Linked DNA regions of Drosophila melanogaster. The gene in region 1 interacts genetically with each later gene. Each region holds a gene or a part of one and is shown in the gene's direction. Other genes may lie near its edges. The genes, in order: repo, NimC4, klg and Tre1.

Region 1 (5,512 bases):
AATATGTTAGAAATATTTTCATATGGGTTTTTTAAGTAAATATCTAAATAAGTAACTCTTAAAGATCACCGATCCCAATGAATGTATAGCTCTACCCACTTTCACCCTCTTCGATTGCAATGCCCACATGATTCGGCAGCCTTCTTCCCACTTCCCATTCAAATGCTCCGTGAAATCTTCGGATCTGTCCAAATGAGCCATAACTTAGCCCCTGACTAAGTGCCCACCTCGGCGCGATCGAAGTACCAGCATCTGGCCAAAAGGTCACACGCAACAGCGGACTGGAGGAAAGGGGAGCATGCCAATCCTTGAGAGGGTGACACGCGCTGTGGGAAGATCGAGCGATCAGGGTGTGGAAACGGGCTGAAGTGGAAGAAGAAGGTCACAAGCGTGCCACCAAGTCGCTGCCTTACAGGGGTTGCAACCTCGAATGGAACCACCCTCATGAGTCCAATTGGAACCACGACCATCGGAATTCCTCGGCTAGAAGTTAATTGTTCGTCCAACATGTGTGACGATGAAGGTGCATTGTTACGGATAGCGATGACCATGAGGTGGACGCGAAATAGATGGGCTCTCTCAACTTTGGGCGAAATTAATCTGTATCAATGGATTGCCAACAAGAAGCCGCTAAATTGGGATTGTACATACATAAGTGCATATGGAAATATAGTGGATGTTAAAAACCCCCCTTTTTAGGTTTTATCTGTGATACGATCTTTAGAACGATTAGAAAGCAGCATAGTAATTTTCATCTCTTCGCCAAAATTGAATGCTTTAATATGGCTATAACTATTCCCACTAGTTTGATAAACGGTTCTGAAATCGAAAACATTTGAAAAGATAGTATAGTATATATACCAGACATAAACTTAATCCTTCAAATCGTTCAACATTCTTCTTATTTCGGCCCCCAATCTTATAGATACCTTATCTCCATATATCGAATCATAGATCATACCATAGATTATCTTCTGTACCATACATTATTATTAATAGGTATGCGATAGTTTGTAACTGCATGGTAACAGAACACAATCAGTTCATTTATATGATATCTCCTAATATGACTATGCTTTCATGATTCTATATCCTCATTATAAATAAAACATAATTCAATAGTAGGATAACAATAAGATCAGCGTGCCATTAGAGTCCTTAAATCCGCTCTAAGAACTGAGAGCCAGTAGAGATGCAAGTCCCGGTTCCCAGGACCCCATCATCCCGTCGTGCTCTTCCGTTCCCAGAACATCTCGATCTGCTGGTAGCCGTGTGCCCGCGAAGCTGAAGACCAAAAACTGGACCCAGGCAGCTAGACCCAGTCAAAAATAAAAAAACAGAAAAAAGAAGAAAAAATCGCAAAGTAGGGGAGACCACACCCCGCTGAATGGAAAATCGTCGAATCGCTGGGCAAGCGGAAAAGTCACACACGCCAGCATGAAACGCACAGAGCGGCGTTCGCATGCGCCGTCCCGCTCGCACGGCGATAGTGGCGGCCGATGGAGCGATGCGATTGGTCGCTGCCAGCGCTGCTGCTGCGCTGCCGCCTGCGCCGGTATAAAAGGACAATCATCGCCAGTAGCCGAGTCAATTAAGGCCAAAGACTCGAGCGGTGAGCGTGCGGCTCTACTCCCATATATACATATATATATATATATATATTCAACATCCTAACCGATAGAAAAGTAGCAACAGCAGCCCAGTTATGTGCTTGCCAAATGCAATTAACAACTGATTGATTTGGAAACTCAGCAGCGATAATCGAGTTGAAAATCAACCAAATAATACACTAAATGGATTGAAAGTGTCGCAGTGGCAAAAGTGTTGTTAGCTAGTTAGTGTGTCTTGTGTGCTGTTACTGTGCGTTCCAAGGATTAAAGTCGTGGAGGAGAATGGAACACGATAGCTTCGATGATCCCATTTTCGGGGAGTTCGGCGGCGGGCCACTCAATCCACTGGGCGCCAAGCCACTGATGCCCACCACAACGGCCATGCATCCCGTGATGCTGGGCAGTGTCCACGAGTTGTGCAGCCAACAGCAGCAGCAGCAGCAGCAGCAACGATTGCCCGACTGCAACACCATACTGCCGAATGGCGGAGGAGGAGGAGCAGGATCTGGCGGCGCTGGAGGATCGCCCAACTATGTGACCAAGCTGGATTTTGTCAACAAGATGGGCTGCTACTCGCCCAGCCAGAAGTACGAGTACATTAGTGCGCCGCAAAAACTGGTGGAGCAGCAGCAGCAGCAGCAGCATCATCATCAACATCATCAGCACTACACGGCCACGCCCCCGCCCAGCCACAATGGCATCCTGCTGCACAAGCAATCCTCCCAGCAGCAACAGCAGCAGCAGCAACAGCTGGTGGGCATCCTGGACTATCATCCGCTCAATGGCAAGCTGGACTACTCCTCGTCGCCCAAAGATCAGTACGAGCCGCAGCAGCTGCAGCATCTGTACGGCGGCAGTCCGCATCATCTGGACCATTTGGATCATGGCAGTGATGGCTTGCTCCAGGACTCCTCGCCCGTCATGATCAACGGAGGATCCGCTGGTGGCAAGCTAAAGAAGCCCGATGAGATGTGTTCGCAGTTGGAGGCGGGTGGTGCTGGAGTTACTCCGCCAAGTAGTTCCTCCACGGTGGTTAATGGCACCACCAATGGCACTGGCAACGCCAACTCCTCCTCCTCCGCTGGCGTCGGCATTCAGGGGGCGGCGGGCACAGCGGGGGGCGTGGCAGCTCCTGCAGCCAAAAAGGACGGAAGCAGCAGCAAGAAGAAGGGCGATCCCAATGGCATCAAGAAGAAGAAGACGAGGTAAGCGGTCGAAGCTGCTACGCTGTCAATTAATTTAACGACGGGAAATCAATGAAATTATGTGGCACAAGATGATAGCACTTGCTATTTATGACCGTGACCACGGGGCGTATGAGTAATTTGGAGTAAGGACATTGCTAGCAACTCGCACGGAAACCCGTGCAATCTGGGGGGCTAATTATTAAATAATGAGTACCGATAGCAGATAGATAGATCCACAGAACATGGTTATCTCTATAGAATTTTCTAATATTCTAAAATATAGTTTCAGTTTAGAACTTTTTTGTAATATAAATAGATACTATGGGTTTTTTCATTTTTCCCTTTTTTTAATCCCTATTATATGACCAACTAACTGTATGAATCCCATTCAGACTTTCATCTAATCCTCTATACTTTCCATTTTTACCTTCAGAACCACCTTTACTGCCTACCAGCTGGAGGAGTTGGAGCGTGCCTTTGAACGTGCTCCGTATCCGGATGTTTTCGCCCGCGAGGAGCTGGCCATCAAGCTGAATCTGAGCGAATCCCGTGTGCAGGTGTGGTTCCAGAACCGACGGGCCAAGTGGCGCAAGCACGAGCCACCGCGCAAGACGGGCTACATCAAGACGAGCACTCCGCCGACGGCGACACTGAATCCCGGAACCCTAGCCCCACCATTCACTAGCTACCCGCAGACGACGACGGTCACGCCGCCGGGCAGCATGGACAGCTGGACCAGCTACCAGACGCCCTACGAACTGACGCCCCAGTTCAGCCTGCTCTCGCCGGCGGCCAGTCCGTATGGCACCTATTCCGGCCAGTACGGTGCCTATGTGCACGAAAGCCAGCTCTTCCCGATGCGTCACTACGAGTACGGTAGTCCCACGCGCATGGAAATGGGCGCCACAACCGGTTCGGTGGCCGGAAACGGAGATGAGTCGGTGGCCAATGGCGGCAGCTATCAGACGGCGGAACTGCAGACCGCCCAGCAGCAGCAACTGGCCGACGGCACACTGGTCACCGTCCATGCCCACCAACAGCAGCAGCAGCAGCAGCAGCAACTCAATGGCAAGTACCTGAGCGCCGAGGAGGCCAAATACGTGCACCTGCAGTGCCATCAGAGTGGAGGTGGTCTGGAGCTAAGTCCCGGCGCCAGCTGTCATCTGGTGGAGGCGCAGGGCCAGCACTATGTGACCACGGCGACGGGAGGAGCTGCATCCGCGGGCGGCACCAGCAGCGATGACAACGACAGCGGCGGCATGCAGACTGTGATCAAGAGCGAGGAGGTCTCCCAACAGCAGCAGCAGCAGCAGGGACAGAGCTACGTCCTGCCGCCTTTTTTGCACTGAGAGAAATGCTCACACACCGGCGACAGCAACAACACCAGCGACGCTGGGCCACGCCCATCAGCACGCCGAACGCCCGTTTCCGTCGGCCATTTTGAAGGGATGGAGGCGTGGCGTGTGCAGCATTTCCAACTGTGTTTCTCCGACTGAAAGTGGGGCTCCAGAAAAGCGGATTCCCAAAGATAAAGCCTCATAAGTAGTAGAATTCATCATCGGATTACTTAAAACTAGTTGCTTTCAAAAAATTTGGCGAGAGTCCACAAATTTTATATTTAATTTGATAATATTGTTTTTTTAGTTTATATTTCCAATCCCTTGGAGTTTTTCTAGCCAGTCCCACACAGTTTCTAGCCACTGTTTTCATATTGCCATAGGTTCCTTTTAGGTTTAATGACGCAAGTTGCAACAACAACGGAATCCACAAGTCTTGCCAAATCATAATGAGGTTATTATGCCTGTCTAAGTCTAGGTTAATCTAGGGCTAGGGGCTCTGCAACGAGAGCCCCGCCCCCAGAATGCATTCCAAATGTGCCTTACCAAAACGGGTGACGAGTGACCTCCCTCCAAATTGGAAAGCTTCGTTGCCCAACAAACTTAGTTTTAGTTATTCTACTCGTAGACTAAGTTCCATTTGCTGTTTTTGCTGTAGTTAGACAATAAAGTGCTTTTTATATTGTATACTAGCTCATTTGGCTTTACAAATTTTATTACTTACTAATTTTGTAAAATGGCTTGCAAATTTTGTTACAACTACATTCAATTTAGTTTAATTTCTAATTGTAAGCAATTACATAAACTAGGACACTTTGCAAATGTATATAATAGACGTATAAATAAATCGTATTTTGTACCAATAATTGATCAGCTTCCAATTCAAAAAAGGAACAACATAAAAGACTCATAAAAACAAAACTGATGGTTAATACACTTGTTTTCGAAGACAAGTATTAAAAGTAATGCATAGAAAATAATATAGCAGATTCACAACATAATTAATCGCTATGGAGCGACTTCAGATTCTTTGAAAGTAATCAAAATCAATGCCAATCAGAACTGAGCAAGGAATCACAAATGGGATTTCAGGTACAGTACGAAATAAGAAAATACTTTACGGACTCAATAGCAAAGCAAATAGTGCCTATTTTCACATGGACTCAGTTCCCTGCTCCAAAACCGCCTGCCAATCGATGCCTTTGAAGAATGGATGAGCCTGCAATTGGTCGTAGTCCAAACGTAGCTCCGGAGAAAGCTGCAGCAGTTGCTCCAGCAGATCCTTGGCATGATCGGAAATCTCCAACGACTCACTAGGATACTGAACACAACCATAGAGGTCCAGTTGCCCGGGATGCGTGACTTTGTAGGGCTGGAA
Region 2 (3,465 bases), on another chromosome or scaffold:
GTGCGATACAGATACAGATACATAGCCACGCACACGCACACACACACACACACACGGAACAAGGCATCAGTTGCAATCTGACTTCAATTCAATTATTTTAGATTAGAATGTGACTGTGTCACACACACTTTTGTCTCTATGTCAGCTGTCATTCATCCGTTCATATGTTCCATAAAGTCAGGCCGCGGGGCGAAGAGTTGGAGCATTTTGCGGCACAGGATACGTGCCCTATACGCCGCCTGTTCCTGCATTGACACTCGTTCCCATATACTCACACATCCATCTATATGTACTCGTTTCTGTATATAAACACATGCACATACATATATGGGGTTTCGGGTTCACTGTGAATGTGCTCAACAAAACATTGTCCCAGAGATCCCGACTCGAAACGAGCGTGACAAAAGTAACAAATGTGCGACTGCCACCAGCCCAATGACGTCAGGCTTCCTGGGGGCCAGAATTTATTCAAGTGGCTCAAACATTTATGAGTTTCATCCTGCCAAATTGATTTGCGTTTTGTAAAAGCGCATTAAGCTCAGCCTGCCAATGAGTGACCTCTTAAACGCTTTGGGGATCATATTTCAATTGAGATAATTGCTTGACCGGGCGCTGTGGAAAGTCAAACGGAAAAGCATATTATGCAGACTGACTTTAAAATTGTATTTTAACATGGATAAACAAAGGAATAACATTTCTCCAATGTTACATTATCATTTTTGATGTTTAATAATAGACATTCGATTTTATGTTTTCCCACCGTTTCTAAAAATCAAATGGTCCAAAATTACCATACGGAAACTATTTCTGTCAATTAAATTGGAGAGAAAAATCTTGCCTGCTGGGAAAATGTACAATTTTTCGTTTCTATTAGAAGAAAACAGCTAGTTGAACAGGTAAAATTCTAAAAAAGCAGGTACCAAAAAAGGACCACTTGATAAGAGTTAAGTGGAAAAATCCTGGGAACAAATTGTTGAGACATGAAGTAATCGTAAAAAATCTGACTAATTTTTAAAGAACGCAATAGTGTAAAATGATTATTATTTTCTATTATATGTGGAGGAAGTCGTGAAGTAAAAATACATCAATGTAAACCGTTTAGTTCCGCTCTTTGTGAGTCATATCGGCAACGATTCTCAATGGAAAACAATTACATCTTTATGTTATGTTATTTTCAGCATTATCAACGTCTTTATGCGGGCAACTTATAAAGCGGGTTTTATGATAATAACTGAAAAGCTACACTCTTAGATAGTGCACTGTGATAAAGAGGGGGGAGGTTCAAAGTCAGAAAGATCAGAGATCCGGTGGTGACCTTTGGCAGCGGCTCAGATATGCTGCAACCCTCCGAGATCACAGCACTGAACGAAATTGTGACAAGTTTAATATGTTGTAAAATTAAATGTATTTAACCCTTTGATAAGCTTATCAAGATTTTAATAAGTCCAATGCCTTATTAATTATTTGAATATCAGCAAGATTCGGCTTAGCGCAACATCTCGATGAGATTGTTTTCAGTGTAGAAAGCGATTGTATCTAGCTGCGGATGTTGTTGTGTCCTATCTGGTGGCCTGCCTGCATTCTCTGCCGATCCTCCCCGCAGTCCACTGCCTGCGTGGCCAGCTTAGCTGTCGTCCGCACTTCTTGTTCTGGGAAAATTCAGTTGTGTACCGACTGCAGTTGCGAACGGACAAGTCAAACTGGAAAATGAAATTCATCTGGGCCCTGATTTTGGTGCTCGGTTCCATTGCAGCGAACGCTGAGCGTGATAATTACTGCGAAAGGAACGAGACGATACGAGCCACAGTGCCAGTGACCAAACAGCGGATCATAGTAAAGCAGCCATCCAAGTGGAAGATCTGGAAGAAGACTGAGAAGATCACAGAGATCTACGATTCAGAGGAGGAACAAGTCACCCACAGGTTGGTTAGGGAGTGCTGCCCCGGCTACTTGCAGGTGGAGTCCGGCTTGTGTGAGCCCATCTGCAGTCGGGGCTGTCCCGCCCACGCCAGTTGTGCCGCTCCAGATCGCTGTGAGTGCATTTCCGGCTACGTGTCAGCCAGAAATCACCAGGATGGCAGCCACTACTGTGAACCCATCTGCGAGACCCCATGTCCTGCGGGTGCTCAGTGCGTAACGCCCAATACATGTGCCTGTCGCGACGGGTACACCCAATTGCAGCCAACTGACGATGGTGTGAGTGGTGGATGTGCCCCAGTTTGCCGGGTGGGCGATGGCTGTGCCAATGGCAAGTGCATCGATGTGGACCGCTGTGCCTGCAACTCCGGATATCGGTGGGATAAGGCCGAAGAGAGGTGTATCGAGCTCAGTGCAGAGTCAATCTCTGAGGAACTGGAGACCACCGAGGACAATACGGATTCGCCGAGCACCAGTTCAACAGCAGTATTCACGGCCACCCACTGTCCGGATGACTTTGTCCTGTTCCGCGGCGAATGCCGCGAGAAGCAATTCGACAGCAATGATGTGGGTTGCCTTAAATCCGGCTGTGGTCCGCATCAAACATGCCTGGACTCCGGTGTATGTCAGTGCTCCGATGGCTATGTGCCGGAGGAGAGTGGCGAAGCAACTGGAGTGCTCAGCTGTCGGCGCACTTTGCTCGACCAAATTCTCGGGCTGAACGAAGCTATCGACGATGACGATGAGCTGAATCCCTGGACCATACCCATCATTGGTGTTGCCTGTGGATTCCTGTTTGTTCTGCTCATTGTGGGTCTCCTCGGTGGTAGACGATATCGCCAGGAGCGGGCTGCTTTGGCCAACAAGGAGATGGAGTGCCAGTATTCGCAGAAGACAGTGGATGTGGACGAGTGGGTGCCATGAAGGGGTCAGGTTCATCCCTTGGCGTTGGGCTGTGTTATATCAACATTGATTGTTAATTTTTAATCATTTAAATCATTCGAGAATAAAGCGTATCATAATTAAATTGCTTTTGTTTTAAATGGTAGATAATATAATGGATATATAGTATATATATTATGTAGGGGCTTTATTCCTCAGCCAAATCCAATTGTATTGCATAATAATATAAATGTTTACAATTATTCAATGGTGTTCTAATTCAATGGTGTTCTTTAACATTACAAAAAGATAGTTAGGATAGGCAATCTTTATCGTGACCAAAAATTAATGTTAGGAGCTTAAGAGGCTTAACAAATCTGACAAACTATTAGATACTCTCATAGTTCGCTTCATAACTTGTGGCTGATAAATTTAAAACGTTAAACAAACATTTTACTCATCATATCTCGCTTACGGATTGTGAGTCCCTTAGCAGCAATATGGACTCATATGCTGATTACTGGCTTATGTAAATAAAATATTCATAAACATTCGAGGCAAGAGTGCTCATGCTCAGCACATCAGCAAACAAGCCAACTTGAAAATGGCTAAAAATACTCAGACGAATGAACAGACACATTTGAAATGTTATGTTTTTACTCACAA
Region 3 (4,612 bases), 4.7 Mb from region 1:
TCCGGGAAAAATTGTGGGATGGGCGAGGCGGAGGTTGAGGATTATGTCTTTATGTGCATATTTTGGAATTTTATAACCGTTGCGTTGCGTCGCTGACAGTTGAATGGAGGGGGGGAGGTGGGGAGCGTGGAACGCGGACAGATTCCTGTTTTTCACTTTTCAGCCAGATTTCGCCATTACTTCTAATGAAGTCAAAAGCCCCGTTGCTACAAGAGCGAAAACTGAAACAAAAGCTGAAACAAAAGCTGAAACAAAAGCAGTGACAAAGGGCCAAGGGCAAGCGGTCGCGGGGGAAAAGCGGTTGGAAAATATTCAAATTAATTTCAGGACATCTCCTGTTGGACATAAGTTCCTTTTGACCAGGTTGTTGTCGCCATATTTTGCGTGTTCGCCGCCACTGCCGACGTTTTTAATCCTGACTTATGGACTTCCGTATTCGGTTTCGTCATCAGCGTAATGCCTGCTGCTCTGTCGGTTGGGATGGTTGGTTTTCCCTTTGTTTTCCGCCGTACAAACTGCTGAATCGCTTTTTACAGTTATCCGGATGACCTGTGGGTGGTTGCTGCCCAATGCCCCTGGTGCAAATGTTGATGTTGATGTTGTTCCTGCTGTTTAGTTTTAATTACACGCGAGCCTGCCCTCGGTGGTCACGCCTCGATAACTTGATTTTCCAGCTCTAACTCATGTGAAAAGTGACAGCGTTGCGTTCACCTGGGAACTCGTCGCGTAACTTTCACTCACCGAAACTAGCAGGACATGCCGCAATTTGTCTCCCACTTCGAAATGTTGCCAAAGCAGTTCGAATGTTGCCAGCCGATTTCCAGCAACACCACGCTTCCAGCAACAAAGGCTGAAGTCAGCCCCTCGTTTCGGAGCAAAATTCGGAGTGGCATTCGTGGCGAAAAATATGATAGGGGTAGTTTTCATATGCCTCTCTCTAGGCAAAAAGCTGACGAAGAGTGACTGCTGAGCTCAAATAGCTTTAAGCGACAGGTGAACAACATGATATGACAGCATTACATGATCAATTTATTATATGTGGCTTGTGCTGAGAAGTGGCTAAAAGTTATTTAAATCGCAAAAGCAAAATATTGGATGATAAAAATGAAAAATTTGATGTAAAATGTACTTGCTGTAAAAGTTTGAATTTCAAGCTGTCATATGTCATACCTTCAAAATAAGATAATAGTTAAATCAGTTGTTTAAGTATCAGTTTCAAAAAAAAAAGAGTGTGAGTACACGAATTTAAGTAAAAAGAAAGAACAATCCAAATAAACGATATTTGTACTGTATTTTGTTATTGTCTTTTGTAAACAAAACTGTTAATTATGTTTTATGGCCAAAGCCAGGGCAGCGCAGCCTAGTGTCTAACAACTTGAGTTGGTAATGCCCATTTCGCCGTGGCACAGTTGTCCTGAGGCGAACTGGGAGAGAGCCAGCCATCTTTCGCTCTCTGAGCAGTGCCCTCTCTCATCGTCGCTCGGGTGGCCTCGTGGGCGTAGCCGAAGTGCACCGAAGCAACACGAAGTGTTGAGCCGAACCCGAATGCAGGGCGCTGAGAAACGACGGCGAACGGCCAGCAGTGTTTCAGTTGAAAGTGAACCCTTCGACGCAGTTGACACGAATCGCGCGCGACTCGTTCTAAGTGTTTTTCAGCAGGAGCAGAAATCCTGAAGCTGAAGCCAAAAGACCCAGCAGGACATCAGCTGTGCCAGCGAAAAGGATTCTAGCTGCAAGATAATAGTTATTTGTGCAGTGTGCTAACCTAAAAGCAAGCAGTTCTCAGACTGCAACTAACTAAAACAAAGCCAAGTGAATAAACTAAGCCAATAAGATATAAAAGTGAAAAACTTTAAGGATAATAAAACCGAAAACGATCGCTCGTCACATGAGTTCCAGTGCCGCTGGCGCAGGTAATAATTTGCAGCATATTAGTGAATTCTTGTGGGAGCTGTTCGCACTGAAATATTCAAATTGGCACCGAATGTCGCTTAGAATATAAACGTGTACGTGCTGCAAGGACTCGACTTGAGCCAGTGTTTACATTTTGGATTTTATGCGATAATACTCAAAGCCATCAGCGGCAGAAGTGGTAGCTTCGCTATATGGTTGGCTGTGTTATACGATGGCTAGGAGCCCAGGTGGGTGGTTGGGTGGCTTTGTGGCTCCTTTACCCCAGCCAGCTGCCAAATAAATAAAGCAACAATAACAGGGCGGGCAATAAAAGCCACCGCCAAGGGCTCAACCGCCGAACGGTCTTAGCCAAGAAGAGAGTCTGCGAAAGTAAGCAAAGTAACAAAACCAATTTTCATTGTTTTGCGGTGGCTTCCAAGTCGCACTTTCCTCTTGTTCTTTTTTTTTTTTTTTGTTTTTTGCAAGAAGCCGCCTTCAGAAACCAGAAGTATAACAAAATTTCCCTTAACACACACACACACATACACACCAAGTGGGAAAAATAAGGAAAATGTGCAAATGCCGACATGAAATGAAGTAGAACTTGGCATGTGGCGTCCTTAGTTGTATATATGTGTATGTGTGTGTGTGGGTGTGCTGGTGGGAAAATGTTTGTGAAAATGAGAAATGAAATAAACACATGCAATGGCGAAAAGCGAAAGCTTCATAAAAATCCGCTGAATTTAAATACTTAAGAGCATTCGCCGAAAGGCATTCCTGCCGACTTCTTCTCATTTGGGCAAAAGTTTTGCGTCCCTGAAAGAAGAGGTAAATACCCAGAAGCTGTGTAAATTAGGATCCAGATCCAGGCAGACTTAATCCCGGAGAAGCAAACGATAATAGGGATATCATACGATGGCGCTGTGGATGGGGCTTCGAGTTCTTCTGTGGCATAAATAAGTCGTTTGCAGCTGTTCGTCGGCATTTATTTGGCTGCCTGTTCAGGACATCACAATTGTTTCTGGCATTTGGTTAACCTGCAAGTATTCCGCATTCGAGACGTGTACACCAATTTCATATGCTAAAATGCTCGCAAAATCGAAAAAGGGAAGCCGGAATCGTAACCACACAGGCATTGGCAGCCCCAAAGGGGCGAAGACACGCGCTGCCTGCCATTTAATGCAATTGATTTGTGTTGCCTAATTCGGTTAGACGCGCTTCTACAATGCCAATTGTGCGAGCGATTCGGAGCACTGAGAGAAAATATGACAGTTAGATTTATTCAGGACCCCATCGGTAGTCTGTATCAACACAGGTTTATCAATAAGAAAAAGCACTAAATACAAATAGTCCAGGCAAACATTTTTCACAAATTTAAAAGAGATTTAAAAAGCCAGACTTTCTGGGCACTTCTCAATTTTTGGCAATTAGCAGATGAGCAAAAAACTTGTTTGAAATATACTTTATGAATGCCAGAGTAATCCGATTACAGATTTTTTCCTGTGCAGCAGCCATAACACTTGCAAGACAAGACAGCCTATCAAGCAATTTGCTCCGAAATTGCCAGTTTTAATTCCATTATGGGAGGGGGTGGGAGTTTGGTTTTGGAGAGGGGAGAAGGGGGGCAAGGCCACTTCACTTGGCTCGTGCCCACATCCAAAAACAAATCCACACCCACACCCACTTGAATGGCTCCTTTGTTTCAGCTCCTTTTTGCCAACGCACACGCACGCCCCAAAAGTTGATTGATATTCAATTGGTAGGCTTTCCCAGTGCTTGCCCGCTTTTCCGCTTTCCCACCGCCAGTTTTCCTCGATTTCCTCCTCCTTTGTTGGCCGCTTGCGGTTTGGATTTGCTGCTACACGATACGCTTTAATCTGCTCAGCAGCCAAGATGGCCAAGGCAATAGGAAAATCGGCGAACATATTGCCGGGATTGGCTTCCCTCGAAGTTCGAAGCCTCGGTCACGCCACAAGTTGTTGGCTCCCCCCCCTTTCCATCCCCTTTAGACGGGTTTTCTTTTCTCCGGCCTTAAGCGCTTTAAGTAATTTATAAACGCCTTTCGACCAGCCGAAACAAAAGCAATAACAACTTTGTTGGATTTGCTTTTCTGCCATGCACTTTGGACTTGGTCTTATTCTTACGAGCATTTCTCCAGTTCAGCATTGTCTTGCCTTTGGCAAGAAGTTGCGTTCAAGCCCAGTTTTTTATTTTTTTTTTTGTCTTGGCTTTTTCTGTGCTATGTGCTGTGTGTTGTGTGTTAATTGAATGCGATTAGGCGGCCAGAGGAGCTTTGTGCTGAGTGCTGATGGCTGTGGTTGCGGGTCGCCAATTGCAGGAGATAAATTGTAGCTAAGCTGGCTAACGAGCTCTTCCATAGTGGTTGTCAAGGTGACAACGCAGCACCACAGGCCATCTAAGCCGCCAGAGCCACCCAAAATCGTGCAAACCACCATCCACGCTATTCATTGGAAATTCAATGCGGTGGCCATATCATTTACGACATCGCCCATTAAAAGCCAGATAGCGGAGGCTTCCGAAGATTCCGTGACCACATTTTTAACATTTTAATTATGGCCCGGGCGTAACGTGATATCTCTGTGTACTCATATTCCGCGGGCCATCGAGATAAAGCTGAAAAATCAATACCAATTTCATGACAGCGATGGCGAACTTTAAGAGGAACGTATTGCTTAGAAATATTCAAAGTTTCCTGATG
Region 4 (7,901 bases), on another chromosome or scaffold:
GCTTCCGGCATGGGCTATAAATATCCATCCTCGATCATGATGGATGTGTGTTAGGAAAGTTAGTTAGTTAGCCCACCTGTCGCACCTGCTGCTCCAGGCTGCGGTTCAGCCTGGCCAACATCTCGCTGAGACCCATGCCCAGCATCATTAGGAATATGTCCATGTAACTCCAGCCGAAGGTGAGCAGCACATTCTGGATCTTGCCCAGCCAAGCCAGCCAGTTGGAGTAGGGGAACACTTCGAATAACTGGGCACTGGCGCCAAGCAAATAGGATTCCACGGGATCGCTTCTTCGTGGGCAGAAGTCGTAGTAAACCACCGAAATGATGCTCAGCAGGTGTTCCACTGGAAAAAAAAGCACGCCCGGTTATACTCAGCGAAATCCAAACCCAAACAAATTTGGTGACCCAACTCAGTGAAACTACCAGCAGCACGAAGGCCACCAACTTGAGGCGACGGGCAGGACGAGCACGTTGCAGGCAACAGGTGTAGCCCGGTAGCCGTCGCTCCACCGCCGCCCAGTGGCGCATCAATCCAGGCCAGAGTTGGGCCAGGTTCAGGAACTGCCAGGAGGCGATCAGGATGCTAACGTGAAAAACGATGGGCTCTAAATGGTAATTAACATATGCAATTGGTATGTTGCGAAGAAAAGCATCATTTAATCTCACCCACACTGCGCACATCCAGCACACTGTGGGCCACACGGCGAATGCTGAAGGCCAGATCCACCGACGTGGAGCAGAGGTACAAGGAGCTGTACCAGAATCGCCAGCTGCGCCGATTGAAGCTTAATCCCCTGTACGTTGGAGCACTGATTCCACACACGGGCATTAGGCAAAAGCACTGGGCCACCGCCAGAACTGGAGCAACTGCCTCATGGAAGGAGCCATCGTGTAGGAAGTTCTTTCGCGTTCCCCGCACCTGGCTTTCTGGATTGTAAAAGGTAATTAAGATGAACGTACTCATGGGATTCTAACGATTTGGATAGATTCACCTCGAATTTGTTCCAAACCGCTTTTAAGATTTTTCAACCACATCTTGCCCTGAACTTTCAGATGCCGAACAGCACGATTGCACCGATTTCGCCCTTTCAGCTGTCGCATTGTGTACAAGCTCTAAATCCTGACTAAACGGCAAAAATGCAGCAGGATATCATAGAAGTCCACATGTTATCAACTAATGGCCAGTGATGAGGAATAAAACAGGTCCGTGTATGATATTTGTAAGTAAATATACTTTTTATGTACATCTATTTGACGTGCATCTGGTTTTTAAGAATTTAAAATAGTGCTCTTAGTGGATAATATTAATTTAATACGTTCTGTTCAAATATTTATACATTTGGCATCACTTGTAACGAGTATTTAATTAGCGCGACCTTGAAACTGAATGGCTCCACAACATGCAAATTGGCAGCACACTCCATCAGTTATGAACTTGGCACTACTACTTGGAAAATTATATGATAAATGATTGCTTGGTCAAAAGAAACTATGTGCAGCTGTCGCTTGGCGCAAAATTGATTGCGCATAGATGAGCTGAAAAAAAGTCATCATCATAAAAATGTGGCATTAAAAACTAACTAACTAACCGCAAGTGAATAGAAGTGAGTATAGAACGAGAGTACTAAATTTCTTTTTTATTTCAAGGAATTTAATTTCTTTGCAAGCTACTTTTCTACAAATATCCTTTAAGGCGGGCTTAGAATTTCAAAAATCGATAGGCGCCTGCGCAGCGCGTCAATCGATAGAACGCCGATTTCTTAGATCAATAGAAAAGTTCGCATCGAACTTGTTGCCAGGCAGCCAACATGTTCGATCGCGCTCGGACTAAAAAACTGTAGCCCAGCCGCTCATTTCGTTTGTTGTTCTTGTTGCCGCTGTTGTTAATTGACGACAGTGAAAATACGACACTTTGCGCTCTGCGATCGGTTAGTTAAGTTGGCTTAGTTGGCCCAAGCAGCGCTTCTGTTTCGATAATTCAAAAGTCGGAATTGTGAGAAGGCCAGAATCGGCTGGTTGTATTTATTTTGTTCCGTTTATTTTTGTTACTGTGCTGCGCGGAGCGATTTAATGTCAAATCCAAAATGCAATTCGAAAGCATTTAAGAAACGCCAAACGAAGTATAAATTTATAATAAGCGGAAAACAGTGAAACGGGTTCGAGTTCGGGTGAGTTGTTGTTTTGTTATTATTTTCGTTGGTTTTTTGCGTGCGTGTGTGTGTGTGTGTGTTTCTCTTTCAAGACCAGAATCCAAATCCGGCCAAAAAAACGGCCTTACCTTTGTTAACAATTTGAGTTGCGCGTTTTTATTGTTATTGCATTTGGTCCAAACGCACACACAGAGAAGCGCAAACTGCACGCGCGCGTGTGTGTGTGTGTGTGTGTGCATTTGTAATGGAACGATAATGGAACGGCTGTTTCCACAATTCAAAATATGGCCATCCTTCTCGCTCACATCCCAAATCCCGAATTCCACCCTCTCACAAAACAAAAAAAAAAAAAATCAGCAAAGAGGGGAGAAAGAAGTGGATGGGCAAAGAGGATGCATCGGTACACCGAGAAAAACAAATCTACATTAGGCAGCCAGCCAATTAAGGATAATACCCAAATATCGCAATCTTAAATTCATTTGCTTATGCTGTTGAATCTTTTCAGATTTCAAATTGAAAATTTTTGTGAATGTGACATTCCTTGAGTCTCATCGAATTTTTAAACAAATGAGTCATTTGTTTATTTGCACAAAATGAGCCAGACTTGGGAAAAATAAATTGGAAATGGAAATGAAAGTCAGGCTTATAAAGTCTTTTGTTGTTATTTAAACAGATTGTTTGATACCGCCGCTTCCGATTTGCTTTCTCTTTCGCTCTTTCTTTCTTCCCTGTCCAAACATCAGCTGCATGAATCATCATCTTCATCCCCCATCCCCATTCGCCCCCTCCCCCCACCCTTTAACCCACCGCAACAGTTGGTAGCGACTCATTCAGCTCAAGTCTCTTAAAAACGACGAAAAGCAAAGAAAAACCCAGCTCCAAAACGATCCACAATACACATGTGCACTATCTACATATGTACATATGTATGCTCGGGCTTATTCAGTGTATATTATATATACTCGTACTATATATGTATGTATGTACATACATACCCCCCATATCGGAAACTTATTTGGTATTTAGCTTTCGATTAGTCAGCGAAATGCAACAAAAGTGGGAAATATGTATTTCTCGTGCACCGACACGATCAGAAAATAAAATAAAACGGAAGATAATATCGAGTAATTCTCAATATTAAAACAGAGGTCCTAACTCAAGAAACCCCAAATAACTGCACATTGATCTTAAATTTGATTTACTGCATAGGTATTTTCCGAAAACCCATTTAATCCCAATGTAATTAGAGTCGTTATAATACATTTTATCTATCATAATGTTTAAAAAGATGACATGAGATTATGCCGATTTAATTGATATCACGACCAACACAATCGGGGCATTCACAGCCTTATAAACGGGGCTAGATAAAAACGGGCAGATATTGATCAGAGGAACCCTTTAAGAAAATACATATGTACAAATGCGTCTAACCTTATTTGCATTCGACTTTCCGCCCGCTACATAAATACTTGATTGTAAATATTTGTTGATTGATTATTTATAAAGCTTCGTTCCGCCTTTTTTTTTGGACGGTGGGAACCCGAGGCTGATAAGACTTTGATGTAAATATGTATATATGTACATAGCGCATATCGTATTCCTTATGTGCTTAGCTGTGTGTACATATGTACATATGAATGTACATAATGAGCATACTTGTGAGGGGCGCGATCTGAGTGTTATCTCTGATATCTGTGCCATCATCATCGTTGCAAACTGTTGAGGGGCAACTGGCGGCACACTCGCGGTTAGCACTTTAGCTGAATTAATATATCTAGAGAATTATATATGCACATAGCTAATAGTTGGACCTCTTGAAATGCCCTCTGCTGTTTGGACACGCATTTATGGGTAGGGAATTAAACGAAACGGCATGGCGCATGGTGCTCATTTCGGACGGGATGCTCCGGGATGCATATTCAGATTTCCATTTCCAGTTGCGGCCCGATGCGCTCCCCCTATTCGGAAACAAAAGCCAGAAAGTAAGAACGAACTGAGTAGAACCGAGGAGACCGAAAAGAACTGAAACAACTCACATAGAGTTGGAAAACAAACACACATGTTGATCATGCATGAAAGCGGACCGCTGCTCCGCCCCCTCCCCCCCTCCCCCCTCCATTCCTTGAACTCCCCATATTTGGACGGATGATGAGGGGTTCCCAATCCTAAACCCATTTGCCGTTCCCAGAAGCATGAAACCACCACGCACCGGAAACAACGTTAAATGCGTAACAAGGCGCTTTTTAATTTAACCGATCCAAATAAAAGAATTAAATAAATGGAATTGTGTCCACATGCAAAGCAGTTGGAGGACAGCAGCGTTATCAGCATTTCGAAGCCCACGAAAACGCATGACGAACGGGCGGCTTAATTGAAATTGTCATTGATTCAATACGCAACATGCAGAGCAGCATATCATGATGGTCGGTTCGTTCTTCGTTTCACTGGGAAAAAGCGAAATTGAATCCATTTTGATTGCGTTTGTGTCGCAAGAGCAACACATTGCCTGCGCCACATCGCGTTCGCTTATCAACGGGCGAAGAAAGGAAAATGTACATTTAATTGGTCGTAAAAAAGTGCATTGTAAATGTTAAAGTCGCTGATAGCTTCGGGCCGCTTGTTCGCAATGATAACGACAGTGTAACAAATTCCAGAGGGGAGCCCCTTCCAAAATACGAGATTCCAAAAAAAAAAAAACAAAAAAAAGAAGAAGCGTTTCGAAACTCTGAAGAAAACCCAGAGAAGATAAGAGCGTACTTGACAGCATATAGCAAAACTATTGTACATTTCCAAATTTCAATTGGAATCGAAACGGGAACAGTCAATCGCTTGGGTTATCGGAATAATCGCCTCAATTGCGTGAACCTATCGACACAAAGTGCATTGGTATTGAGTCAAAGTAAGGTTTGCTTATATTAACTTTCATAGATTGCATATTTTTGCCGGCTTATTCATGGGAATAAGAAATGTTTGAGCTGAACTCGATAGCTCAACAATAACACGACTTGGCGTCAATTAAATGATAATACGTGACTAGACCATGGAAATCCAATGTATTGCTATTGGATACAATACATATACAAGTAGTTGTTGAAAAGAAAGCAGCGAAAACTGGTCAGGTAATGAGTCATCATCATCGGAGTCATCTTGGCTGATTAGCACAAAAGCCAGTTCTCATCTGTATGCAAATGGCTTAAACGCTTCTACGTACATAAGTAGTTGATGTTGTTAAACAGGAACTTAAGATGCCACCAACAACAGTTTCCACAGCAATTAAACCCAAATTTTTAATTGCGCATAACAGGCGTCTCTCATGTTCCTGTCCGCATTTGACATTGATCTCCTTCTGAATCCTGATTCGATAATATGTAATCTTGGGGCCATCAATCACGCAGTCAGCAGCGATTTGATATATGTATATATAACACCATATTATTCAAAGCCGTTTGCCTTGCTCGGTTGATGAGGAAATTGGTGAAAAACTCGAACTTTTGATAAAAAAAAAATTCGTACAAATGTGAATTCAAATGGCGTGCAAACCGGCTCGATCATTACGATTCGCCAGTTGGCCAGCTTGGCTCGGCAGAAATCTTATAACAAAATCCGTTTACATAAATCAAATGTCTCGGATGCGATAAGCTGGTGGGAGTACGCAGACTTCCTCGCTAATCCCGTCGATCGGATCGGGTTTTTACTCGGTGTCACCGACGACAAAACTGGGCTATTGCATCCGCAAAGCGGTGATTAGTTATCTTTTTGTATTACTCGTACGTTCATTCATTCACAGATTTTCCACGCGCCTGAAACTTGATTTTGCTGATTACATTTCCTTTATCGCGGAGCACAGAAATGTACACATTAGTTCGTTTAGATAGTTAAATTCTTAACAATCCCTTCTTAACAAAAGCATCATGCTTCTGGGCAATTAGGAATGGTAATTTCATTCATTTCTCTTCATAAGTTAATTGTTTTCAAATAACCAAGCGGATGCATATTGAGTTGTCTACATCCGGCTATTAACTTCCTTTTTAATTACTCATGATACGGGCTAACAAATTAAAAAAAAAAAAACAATAGGATTAGCATAAGCGATTTGAATGCAACCAATTTAAAAGATACAGCTCCTTTTCCTGTTCAAAAATAAGTAATTGAAATTGGCTAATCACATCGTTTGCTTGTTTCCCCCGCAGAATGGATCAGGACATGGGCATGGCAACGGGCTACTTTCAGGACGCAGACATGCAGATGGATGAACCGGCGGCCGCCACGCAATCGATCTACCCGCATTCGGCGACATTATTCGCGGCCATTAGTGCCTGTGTCTTTGTGACGATCGGCGTTCTTGGTGAGTAATTGGCATCCCACATTCAGCTCCTCGATTAGCTAACCTGTTTCTCTATGCTGAATTGCCGCACAGGCAACCTGATTACCCTGCTGGCGCTGCTCAAGAGCCCCACGATACGGGAGCATGCCACAACCGCCTTCGTCATTTCGCTAAGCATCTCCGACCTGCTCTTCTGCTCCTTCAGCCTGCCACTGACCGCAGTGCGATTCTTCCAGGAGGTGAGTCATTATACCTGTGAATGTAATATACAATTAGTGAATGATTATAATTTGCTCGATTCCAACGACAGAGCTGGACTTTTGGTACCACATTGTGCAAGATCTTTCCGGTGATCTTCTATGGCAATGTGGCTGTTTCACTCCTCAGCATGGTGGGCATCACCCTGAACAGGTAGGCCCAAGTCTAGTCCGCATTGTCGCAAGCTAATCCGCAACCGTCACCCTAATCCCCTGGCAGATATATACTCATCGCTTGCCACAGCCGCTACTCGCAGATATATAAGCCTAAGTTCATAACCCTGCAGCTGTTGTTCGTTTGGGCCGTCTCCTTTCTGCTGTTGGTAAGTAAGGCGTCTTCGATTTGTGTGCACACATTCAACTAATCGGTTTTTATCTTCCCAGCTGCCGCCCATATTGGGCATCTGGGGCGAGATGGGCCTGGACGAGGCCACCTTCTCCTGCACAATACTCAAGAAGGAGGGGCGATCGATCAAGAAGACGCTGTTCGTGATCGGCTTCCTGCTGCCTTGCCTGGTGATCATCGTTTCGTACTCGTGCATCTACATTACGGTGCTGCACCAGAAAAAGAAGATTCGCAACCACGATAACTTCCAGATCGCAGCGGCCAAGGGCTCCTCGTCGTCCGGCGGCGGATCCTACATGACCACCACATGCACGCGCAAGGCGCGCGAAGACAATCGACTGACCGTCATGATGGTCACCATCTTTCTGTGCTTCCTCGTCTGCTTCCTGCCGCTAATGCTGGCCAATGTGGTGGACGACGAGCGCAATACCTCGTACCCCTGGCTGCACATCATCGCCTCCGTGATGGCCTGGGCTTCCAGTGTCATTAACCCGATCATCTATGCGGCCAGCAATCGCAACTACAGGTAAGTTTGCTGGCAGTTTTGGCTGCTATCGGGTTTAGCTGCTAATAGCGAATCTATCTTCTATTTCAGAGTGGCCTACTACAAGATCTTTGCGCTGCTCAAGTTCTGGGGCGAACCGTTGTCGCCGATGCCGAGTAGAAACTATCACCAAAGCAAGAACTCCAAGGAGCTGTCGGGCGTCATCCGCAGCACGCCGCTGTTTCACGCTGTGCAGAAGAATAGTATTAACCAAATGTGCCAAACATATTCAGTATGATCGAGCTCGCAGTCGAGAGCTTGTAATTCATATCAAT

Evidence for each region.
Region 2: of repo (region 1) and NimC4, changing one suppresses a phenotype caused by changing the other (phenotypic suppression), as found in Drosophila melanogaster (one study listed by BioGRID).
Region 3: of repo (region 1) and klg, changing one suppresses a phenotype caused by changing the other (phenotypic suppression), as found in Drosophila melanogaster (one study listed by BioGRID).
Region 4: of repo (region 1) and Tre1, changing one enhances a phenotype caused by changing the other (phenotypic enhancement), as found in Drosophila melanogaster (one study listed by BioGRID).

Annotation. Positions count from the first base shown.
Region 1 is NT_033777.3:18,234,605-18,240,116, forward strand, and holds repo (reversed polarity), read left to right. Parts: upstream 1-1,587; 5' UTR 1,588-1,892; coding exon 1,893-2,815; intron 2,816-3,230; coding exon 3,231-4,146; 3' UTR 4,147-4,998; downstream 4,999-5,512. Other genes in the region: CG7156 (uncharacterized protein), read right to left, coding at 5,288-5,506.
Region 2 is NT_033779.5:14,045,924-14,049,388, forward strand, and holds NimC4 (nimrod C4), read left to right. Parts: upstream 1-1,658; 5' UTR 1,659-1,707; coding exon 1,708-2,841; 3' UTR 2,842-2,940; downstream 2,941-3,465.
Region 3 is NT_033777.3:22,897,698-22,902,309, forward strand, and holds the start of klg (klingon), read left to right. Parts: upstream 1-1,586; 5' UTR 1,587-1,913; intron 1,914-4,612.
Region 4 is NC_004354.4:5,673,929-5,681,829, reverse strand, and holds the start of Tre1 (trapped in endoderm 1), read left to right. Parts: upstream 1-1,852; 5' UTR 1,853-2,170; intron 2,171-4,871; exon of another isoform or gene 4,872-5,054; intron 5,055-6,345; 5' UTR 6,346-6,346; coding exon 6,347-6,500; intron 6,501-6,572; coding exon 6,573-6,718; intron 6,719-6,789; coding exon 6,790-6,890; intron 6,891-6,956; coding exon 6,957-7,059; intron 7,060-7,120; coding exon 7,121-7,608; intron 7,609-7,656; coding exon 7,657-7,864; 3' UTR 7,865-7,901. Other genes in the region: Gr5a (gustatory receptor 5a), read right to left, coding at 1-14, 77-345, 413-607, 669-929, 995-1,103. UniProt on the Drosophila melanogaster protein: Essential for the first active step of germ cell migration: transepithelial migration of germ cells through the posterior midgut (PMG) epithelium.